Linked DNA regions of Caenorhabditis elegans. The protein of the gene in region 1 purifies or fractionates together with the protein of each later gene. This does not show direct contact. Each region holds a gene or a part of one and is shown in the gene's direction. Other genes may lie near its edges.

Region 1 (3,755 bases):
ATTGTCAATTTGCCGGAAAATTCTATTCCGGCAATTTACCGGTTTGCCGGAAAATTATCTTTAAAAATATCTTTTAAAACTTTCCACACTGGAAACTATATTTCAGACAAAGTCCACGGATCTACAGTAGCCCGCCGAATAAGACCCTATTATACAAATCGAAAATGCAGTCCCTACGAGGCTCCGCCATTCCGCTACACGTTTTGCACACGTGACACTAATCGATTAGCAATTCTTGGAATGTATATGGCAGATGGGTCGGATAACATTGACACAGAGAGATATTGTGGGAGTAACCGGTAAAAGTCTGATTATTTTTTGATTGAAAATTGGATTTTTTCAGGGACTGCTCAAGTACATCTGTATGTGTATTCACTAATTCAGTTGGCACTTGCTTTGTGGATCCTATGGTATGTTGTATTATTATTTCTGATTTCTGATTTTAAAGCCATAATTGAACTAAAAAATAATGTAAAAAATTCAAAAATTCTAGAAAAAAATTCTAGTAGAGTGTATAGTCGTGAATATGTAAAGCGGGAACACAAAATTCTAAGAATGCGTATTGCACAACATATTTGACGCTCAAAATATCTCGCAGCGACAACTACAGTAACTCTTTAAATGACTATTGTAGCTCTGGTGTCGATTTACGGGCTTGATTTTTGAAATTAATTTCAATTTCTGCTCAAATTGTGACAGCAATACTCAATTTTCTTTTGAATTTTTTTGTTGTGTTTTTTGTCATTTTTGTTTTTTCTTTCAATATTTAATCGATTAATAAAATATTTCCGTTACTGTAATTTTCGCTACGAGATATTTTGCGCGTCAAATATGTTGCGCAATACGCATTCTCAAAATTTTGTGTTCCAGTAACAGTTTCTGTGCAACCACACTGTGCCCCATTTCGGTTTGATCTACGTAGATCTACAAAAAATGGGGGGTGGGCGGCAATTGCCGTTCGGCAAATTGATTTATCGACAAAGTCGGCAAATCGGCAAATTGCCGGTTTGCCGATTTGCCGGAAGTGTTTAATTCCGGCAAATTGCCGGTTTGCCGATATGCCGGAGATATTCATTTTCGATTTTTTTTCTAGATATTTTCATAGAATTTGCTTACTTTTCAAAATAGATGAAAGAACATTCATAGGATGCGTTTTGCCATTTGGAAATGAAATTCTGAAATTCCCAAAAAAAAGGTGCAAAACCACAATTTGTCGAAAATTGTTCGGCAAATACGGCAAATCGGTAATTAGCCGGTTTGCCGATTTGCAGTAAATTTTCAATTCCAGCAATTTGCCGGTTTGCCGATTTGCCAGAAATTTTTAATTCCGGCAAAGATCGTTTGCCGCTACTGTAGCTCTTGTGTCGATTTACGGGCTCAATTTTCGTAAATAAACACTACAGTAGCCATTTAAAAAATTACTGTAGTTTTCGTTACAAGATATTTTGCGCGTCAAATATGTTGTGCAATACGCATTCACTGAATTTTTTGTTTCCGTAATACACAAAAATGGCTTAAGATCCATAGAAAAGTGCAAAAAATCTTTTAAAAAAACTTGGAAATTCGTTACTGTGGTAACGAATTTTTTTAAAGGCGCACACAATTTTGCGCGGCGAATTTTTGAATTTTTTTGACTGAATTTTGTGTTCCCGTAATAGTCAAAAAAATCCTCAAAAAAATATTTTTTTCAGTTCACACCTGAACCGTTGAACTTCTATGGACCTCTCTGGATTGCTCTATACACCATTATCCCTACCACTTTTCTCATTTTCGGATTGGTCTGCGGAATTAATTTCTGGAAGAAGGACTGTTATTATGCAATTTAATTGATTAATTTATTGATTTAAATGAATATTATTTGTTTGAACCTTTGTGTTTTTACTTTAAAGTATCGGAAAAGGTCACAAAAATACCTGTTTATTGGACAATGCCACTTCGTGTGTTCCCTTCAAAACACTTCAACATTTTCATTTTCAACAGTTTAAATCAAATTTTAATAATTGTCAGCTGTCATGATTTTTCCGAATTTCTTCGTATTTGTTATAGTTATTTTGCTGTCTGCTGATGCGAAAAAGATTTGGACCAAGGCTGATTTACCACAGTTCAGGTGAGCACACTCTGAAAATATATATCCTTATAGGGATGCTGTAGGATTACTGTAGTTTTGGGTAAACAGATTTTTTATTTTGAAAGGATATTGGGTTGAGCTCAGTGAAGGGATAGGGTTGGGGTACTGTAAGAGTACTGTAGGGTTACTGTAGTTTGAGGTAAACATATTTTTTTGAAAGGATATTGGGTTGAGCTCAATGGAGGGATAGGGTTGGGGTACTTTAGGATTACTGTAGTTTTAGAAAAATACTGAAATTTCAATCTTCTAAGAAAAATTTTGGCGGTAATTGATTTTTTTTTTGGAGAGAAATTTTGACGAGGTTGAATATTTCCGAGTAAAAAATTCCGAGGGATTTCACATTTTTCGGGAAAAAGCCTGGCGGGATTTCAAATTTTTTGGGAAAAATTTTGGCGGGAGTTCAAATTTTTTGAGAGAAATTTTGGAGGGGTTCTAATTTTCTGGGAAACAGTTTGGCGGAAATTGAAATTTTATCAGAGACAAATTTCAAGGGATTTCATTTGAAATTGTCCTCAAAAAAAGTTTGGCGGGATTTTAAATTTTTCGGGAAAAAATTTGGCAGAATAAAAAACATTCTAGACAGCAATTTCTGGAAACTTTTAAAAAAAGTTCTGGAAGGTTTGGAAAACTCTAGGAAAAAGGTGCAACCATTCATGTATTTTTTGGTCAAACTCTGGATATTTTCAGACCCAAAAAGCCAGTGGAAGAGCCCATCCCAACAGGCCCACGAAATCGAATCGTCGAGTGGAAAAATAATTTGAAATTCCAAGAAGTCAGCCCGAAGAATAATGTTTTCTGTCGGGTAAGCGTCCTTCTTACTTCTAAGTAACTACTCCAGATTTATAGATTTTCGGGCTTTGTGCTCACTATTCAACTGGTGTAGTTGTGCTGAGCATGCTCTCAAAATGGAAGGATCGTGGAATGATCTACCCGTACAAAAAGTACGACGGAACACCTGATTCCAACTTACCAATGACTGATTTGCACAATTTCGTTAGTAAGTTCTTTATTGTAAAGTTTCAAAATACCTACATATGATACTTTTCAGAAACTCTCCATAACAAGCCGAAAAATAATTGATTTTTTTAAATTCTATAAACGACTAGATTTTATATACGAAGTTGCAAATTCTTCATAAATGTACAAATACAGTTGAAAAGAAACGAGAAAAGACAGCACGGATTTACCCGAACTCTGAAGGCAAAGAAGAGGCGTGGGTGGGAAACCACGAAGAGATAAGTTAATGAGTGATCGGATCTTAACGATCTTAACGACGTGTTCCGTCCTCGAAGAAGACACCTCCGTCCAAGGCGCAATACTTTGGACAGATTCCACGTTCTCCTTGTGGTCCTGGCTGTCCTGGTTGGCCAGCTGGTCCGGCTTGTCCTGGATGACCTTGTTGGCCTGGTGGACCTGGTGGTCCTTGTGGTCCTGGCGCACCGTCGGATCCTGGACGGCCTGAAAAAAAAAACAAAATTTTTTTGATGATATTGAACCTTATAAAATTGATATTTAATACTTACCAGCTTGTCCTTGATCTCCTGGAAGTCCAGATGGTCCCGGTTCTCCTGGTGCTCCTGGATCTCCTGGCAGAGCTGGAGTGGAGATTGCTGGTCTTCCTTGCTCT
Region 2 (3,755 bases), on another chromosome or scaffold:
TCTGTGGAAATCGCTAATAAAAAAAACGTATTTTTCTTCCAGTTTGAATTATGTTCCAAACTCTTATATTTTAGCAATGTTGGGGTTCAAACATGCGCCAGTGCTTTAGATATTTCGAGAAGTGGCGCAAACTCCGTTTTCGCCATTTTTTGACTTAAAATAAAAATTCTCCAATTTTTGTTCTGAAAAGTTGTACCATGATACTTCCGCACTCCGCCTTTAATTAAACGGAAAAATTCAATGTTTTATAACTTTACAAAATTTATCCTCAAAATCACAATGAATGAAACATTTTCCGAGTTTCATTTTGAATTATTTATTTTATTGTAACAAAACGTGCATTTTAATAACCCTCTTTGCTCCGAAGATGATGGAAAATGTGTTCCCGTCGTTTGAAATAATAAAGTCATTGAACGAAAAACGTTTACCTCTGCTTATTCCCTTCAAAAAATTTTCTTCGGAAATTTCCTCCAAATTTCCTGTTTTCCACTACTGCTGTGTTATCGTAAAGTTAATATCGAGTTAACATTAGTTGGTACTTACAAAAGCAATAAATGGTTCGGTTCATTGTGAATGTGGCTTCTTTGTCGTTTTCTTGTGGAAAATTGCTTTCCTTCTTTTAGGAGTCTCCGACTGCACAATGACTTTACAGGAAATTATTTTTCGGCCCGGTTTTTTTTGTCTTGCAAAGCTTCTAAAAACCTGGAGCTAAAAGTGTTTCGTTGGATTTAGTTAGAACGAGTCAAAATGAGTATGTGTAAAAGAGATGAACAGACTACGTTGCGGAATTTTTTTTTTGAAGACGCGTACGAGCCTGACTTCCGTCCCCTCTTGAATTTCGTTGGTGCTTTGTGGTTTGTAGTAAGTGCATCAGAGACACGCCAATAAAAGCGAAGAGTGCTCTAAAATGACATGGAGTACCTTTACCTCCGTGCTGGATTGAATTACACTTGAGAATTGGAAGAGAGCACAACTACATCTGGTTCCTAATCACAAGCGTGCTTTTTCAAATGCACTTTATTTGCAGGTGCCCTCCCCGTGAGTTATGAAATTCAACAGCAGCGCGAGTTGCAATCTTTCAGAGAGCACATTTTCTTGAGATCTCCCTCGGGAAGACTAGGCAACGCCCGTCTCAAATGAAGCTTTAGATGAGATGACGTATAGTGTGTTGCCAAGTGAGTTTTCACTTTTTAAAATAAAATTGAAGCATGGAAAAAAATAAATGGACCAGATAAAATTTGATTCGGTTTTGTCCAAAAAACTGCAGAAACATTTCTGAAATTCTAGGCGTGAGAGAGAGAGAGTACACAGTAATGAATAATTCAACATTCTCAGTATATGGGGTGAAATTTGAGTAAATATTTGAAACACTACTTTGGGATCTTGACTTCTACAAATTTTGAATGGAATACCTCGAGAATTTATTTGTGATACTGAATGAATGTAGGTACTTTCAAGGTAAACCTGCACCAAATATGTTTATCATTTTTAAAATTCAACGTAATTTTTTAGTTTTAGTATTAGTGTTTTCTTAACCTGAGAATGCAAATCAATTTCCCATTTTGATTAAATTATCAGGTGAGTGGAAATTGAAAAAAATTTCTGAGACAGGTACCAAAAAAACTGAATCCCTGTATTTGGAAGATAGATCACTCCTTTTCTGAAAGATCTTGTGTTTTCGCGTCAGAAATATTTACAATCATTAACTCGTCTTTCCATTAATATTCATGAGTACTCAACTTTATTACTACCCAATACATCACTTCCAAAAACTTGGTCTCTAGCTATAAAAAGTGCGAAGTATGAAGAAAATGAAAAAAGGAAAGGAAAGACGCACTTCTCTAAGAAAAAAACTCAATTAAGCAACCTGGACTTGTCACTGAGAACAAGGACAAGAGCAAGAACAAGTATCGAAATAGAATGTTTGTACGTACGTTAATCGTGAATTCTCTTAGTGTGTGGCGTACCCCTTGGGAGAAATGTTTTCAAGTCCAGTGTTCACTACTATAAGCTTCCCCCCGTTTTCCTATTGCCCAATGTCTCCTAGCCTCCTCAGTCGGCGCCAAAGTGGGCGGAGCGCATTGGCGGCGCTGCCTGCGCGCGCTTCGGACACGACCGTCGTCGGGCGAAGCACACAGAGAGCAACTCCTCGGGTTTTGGTGAATCAGTCGGTCGCCGCCGCCGTCGTCGTTTTTGGCAGAGCATATTATTGGTGTGGAGCACACAATGTCCTAACTCTCATGGCAATATGATGCGCAAGCTACTCGTCATCTGCCTTCTGACGGTCTATGCCCAAGGGGGTCAGATTCCTGTGCCTCCCATATTTTCACCATGCAACTTCCCATCTCCGATCACCGAACCTAGTTTTGTGAGTTCAACTTTTTCATGTTTTATTTTTTTATTTGCTGAACTTTAAAATCTCCCCTCAACTTTTAAGAACCAAAAAAGCTTTAGCTTCAAATTTCCAATTTCTTTTCTAGAAAAACTGAGGTAGGAAGAATGAGAAAAAAGGAAAAATAATTAGCATTGTTCGTTCTGAAAATGCAAAAATAAGATAAATTATACATTCCCTCTGTTTTGCCCTAGGAGGGGTAGCCTTCGTTCCATGTGCCCCACAAATCACTCAAGCGTTCGTAAACCTTGCAATTAGAAACCCAATTATTTTTTGCTGCTCAGTATTGCTTTATTGTTTATATATATATATATATATTTTTTCTGCGCCGTATCCTACTTTTTTCCACTATACTTCTCCTCCTTTCTCCTTTTTCTATATACTTTGCGAAAAGTTGAACGGCCCTCCAAAACTCGTCGAGGAAGAAGGATGAGAAAGGAAAGCCGCGTGGAAAAGACGAAGACGTCGTGCTTTTTTTTTCTATTTGCATATTGAGCATTTGCTCATCCTTATGAAACCAATCAAGTGAAAGACAATCGTTGTTTTTTTTGTGTCCGTAGTCTTAGATTTACTCTGGCGATATCCGGAAGAATGACGAATTTCGAGTTTTTTTTTCAGAGATTTAATTGTGCACTAGAGGGAGGAAACCCCATAGTTTCGAACTTTTGACTTGTGATTCAAAATTTGACACTCAAATTTTAAAGTCAAGACCTACCCGGTGAACTGCGTGAACGACATTAGTCATTCTTGTGGTCTCCTTTGGAAACCACAAGGTGAACAACATCGTCTCGCCGCCCCGTAAACGCAATTTGTGAAAGCCGAAAAACTCAAACTCCTTTTCTCTTTTGTATTGAAAACCACAAATAGAAGAAAAGGAAATTCCTCGGCGACAACAAAAAAGAAATTGTGTCCCCCCTCCCTGCCTTTCTTCTGCTTATGCTTCCTTCCAGGTTGCTCAAGGACCCTCGTTTATTGTGTCGCAAAAAGTTCACAATTTTTTTTTGAAGGACTGAGGAGCCGAAAAACTTTGTGAAAAGAAGAGTTTGATCTGAAATCAACAATTGTCAAAATTGTCAAAAACATTTTGCAAACTCCCTAAACTTCTTGAGATTTATAGAAAAAACCTGAAATGTATTTTTAGCATAGGAGTAATTTTGATTCTCCTCCAAATTGTCAGCTCATCTCTGTAGACCAAAAAAAAAAGTTATGCAGACAAAAAGGCACGCGACTCAAAAAAAATGATATATACATACACATGTATTTATTTGACGTCTTCCATCATATTTTATTGTGAAAAGGAAAGAAACGACCACCACATCCATTTTAGTTGATGCGAGCCATGTGAAACACTTGTCAAGCATAT

Evidence for each region. The genes of interacting proteins can lie anywhere in the genome.
Region 2: the proteins of ZK1010.12 (region 1) and AH9.6 fractionate together in Caenorhabditis elegans (co-fractionation; one large-scale study listed by BioGRID). This does not show direct contact.

The regions. Positions count from the first base shown.
Region 1 is NC_003281.10:12,989,285-12,993,039, forward strand, and holds ZK1010.12 (Secretory peptide), read left to right. Parts: upstream 1-2,012; coding exon 2,013-2,107; intron 2,108-2,815; coding exon 2,816-2,930; intron 2,931-2,974; coding exon 2,975-3,125; exon of another isoform or gene 3,126-3,176; coding exon 3,177-3,208; downstream 3,209-3,755. Other genes in the region: col-97 (Nematode cuticle collagen N-terminal domain-containing protein), read right to left, coding at 3,396-3,586, 3,652-3,755.
Region 2 is NC_003284.9:2,266,539-2,270,293, reverse strand, and holds the start of AH9.6 (uncharacterized protein), read left to right. Parts: upstream 1-2,155; 5' UTR 2,156-2,248; coding exon 2,249-2,368; intron 2,369-3,755.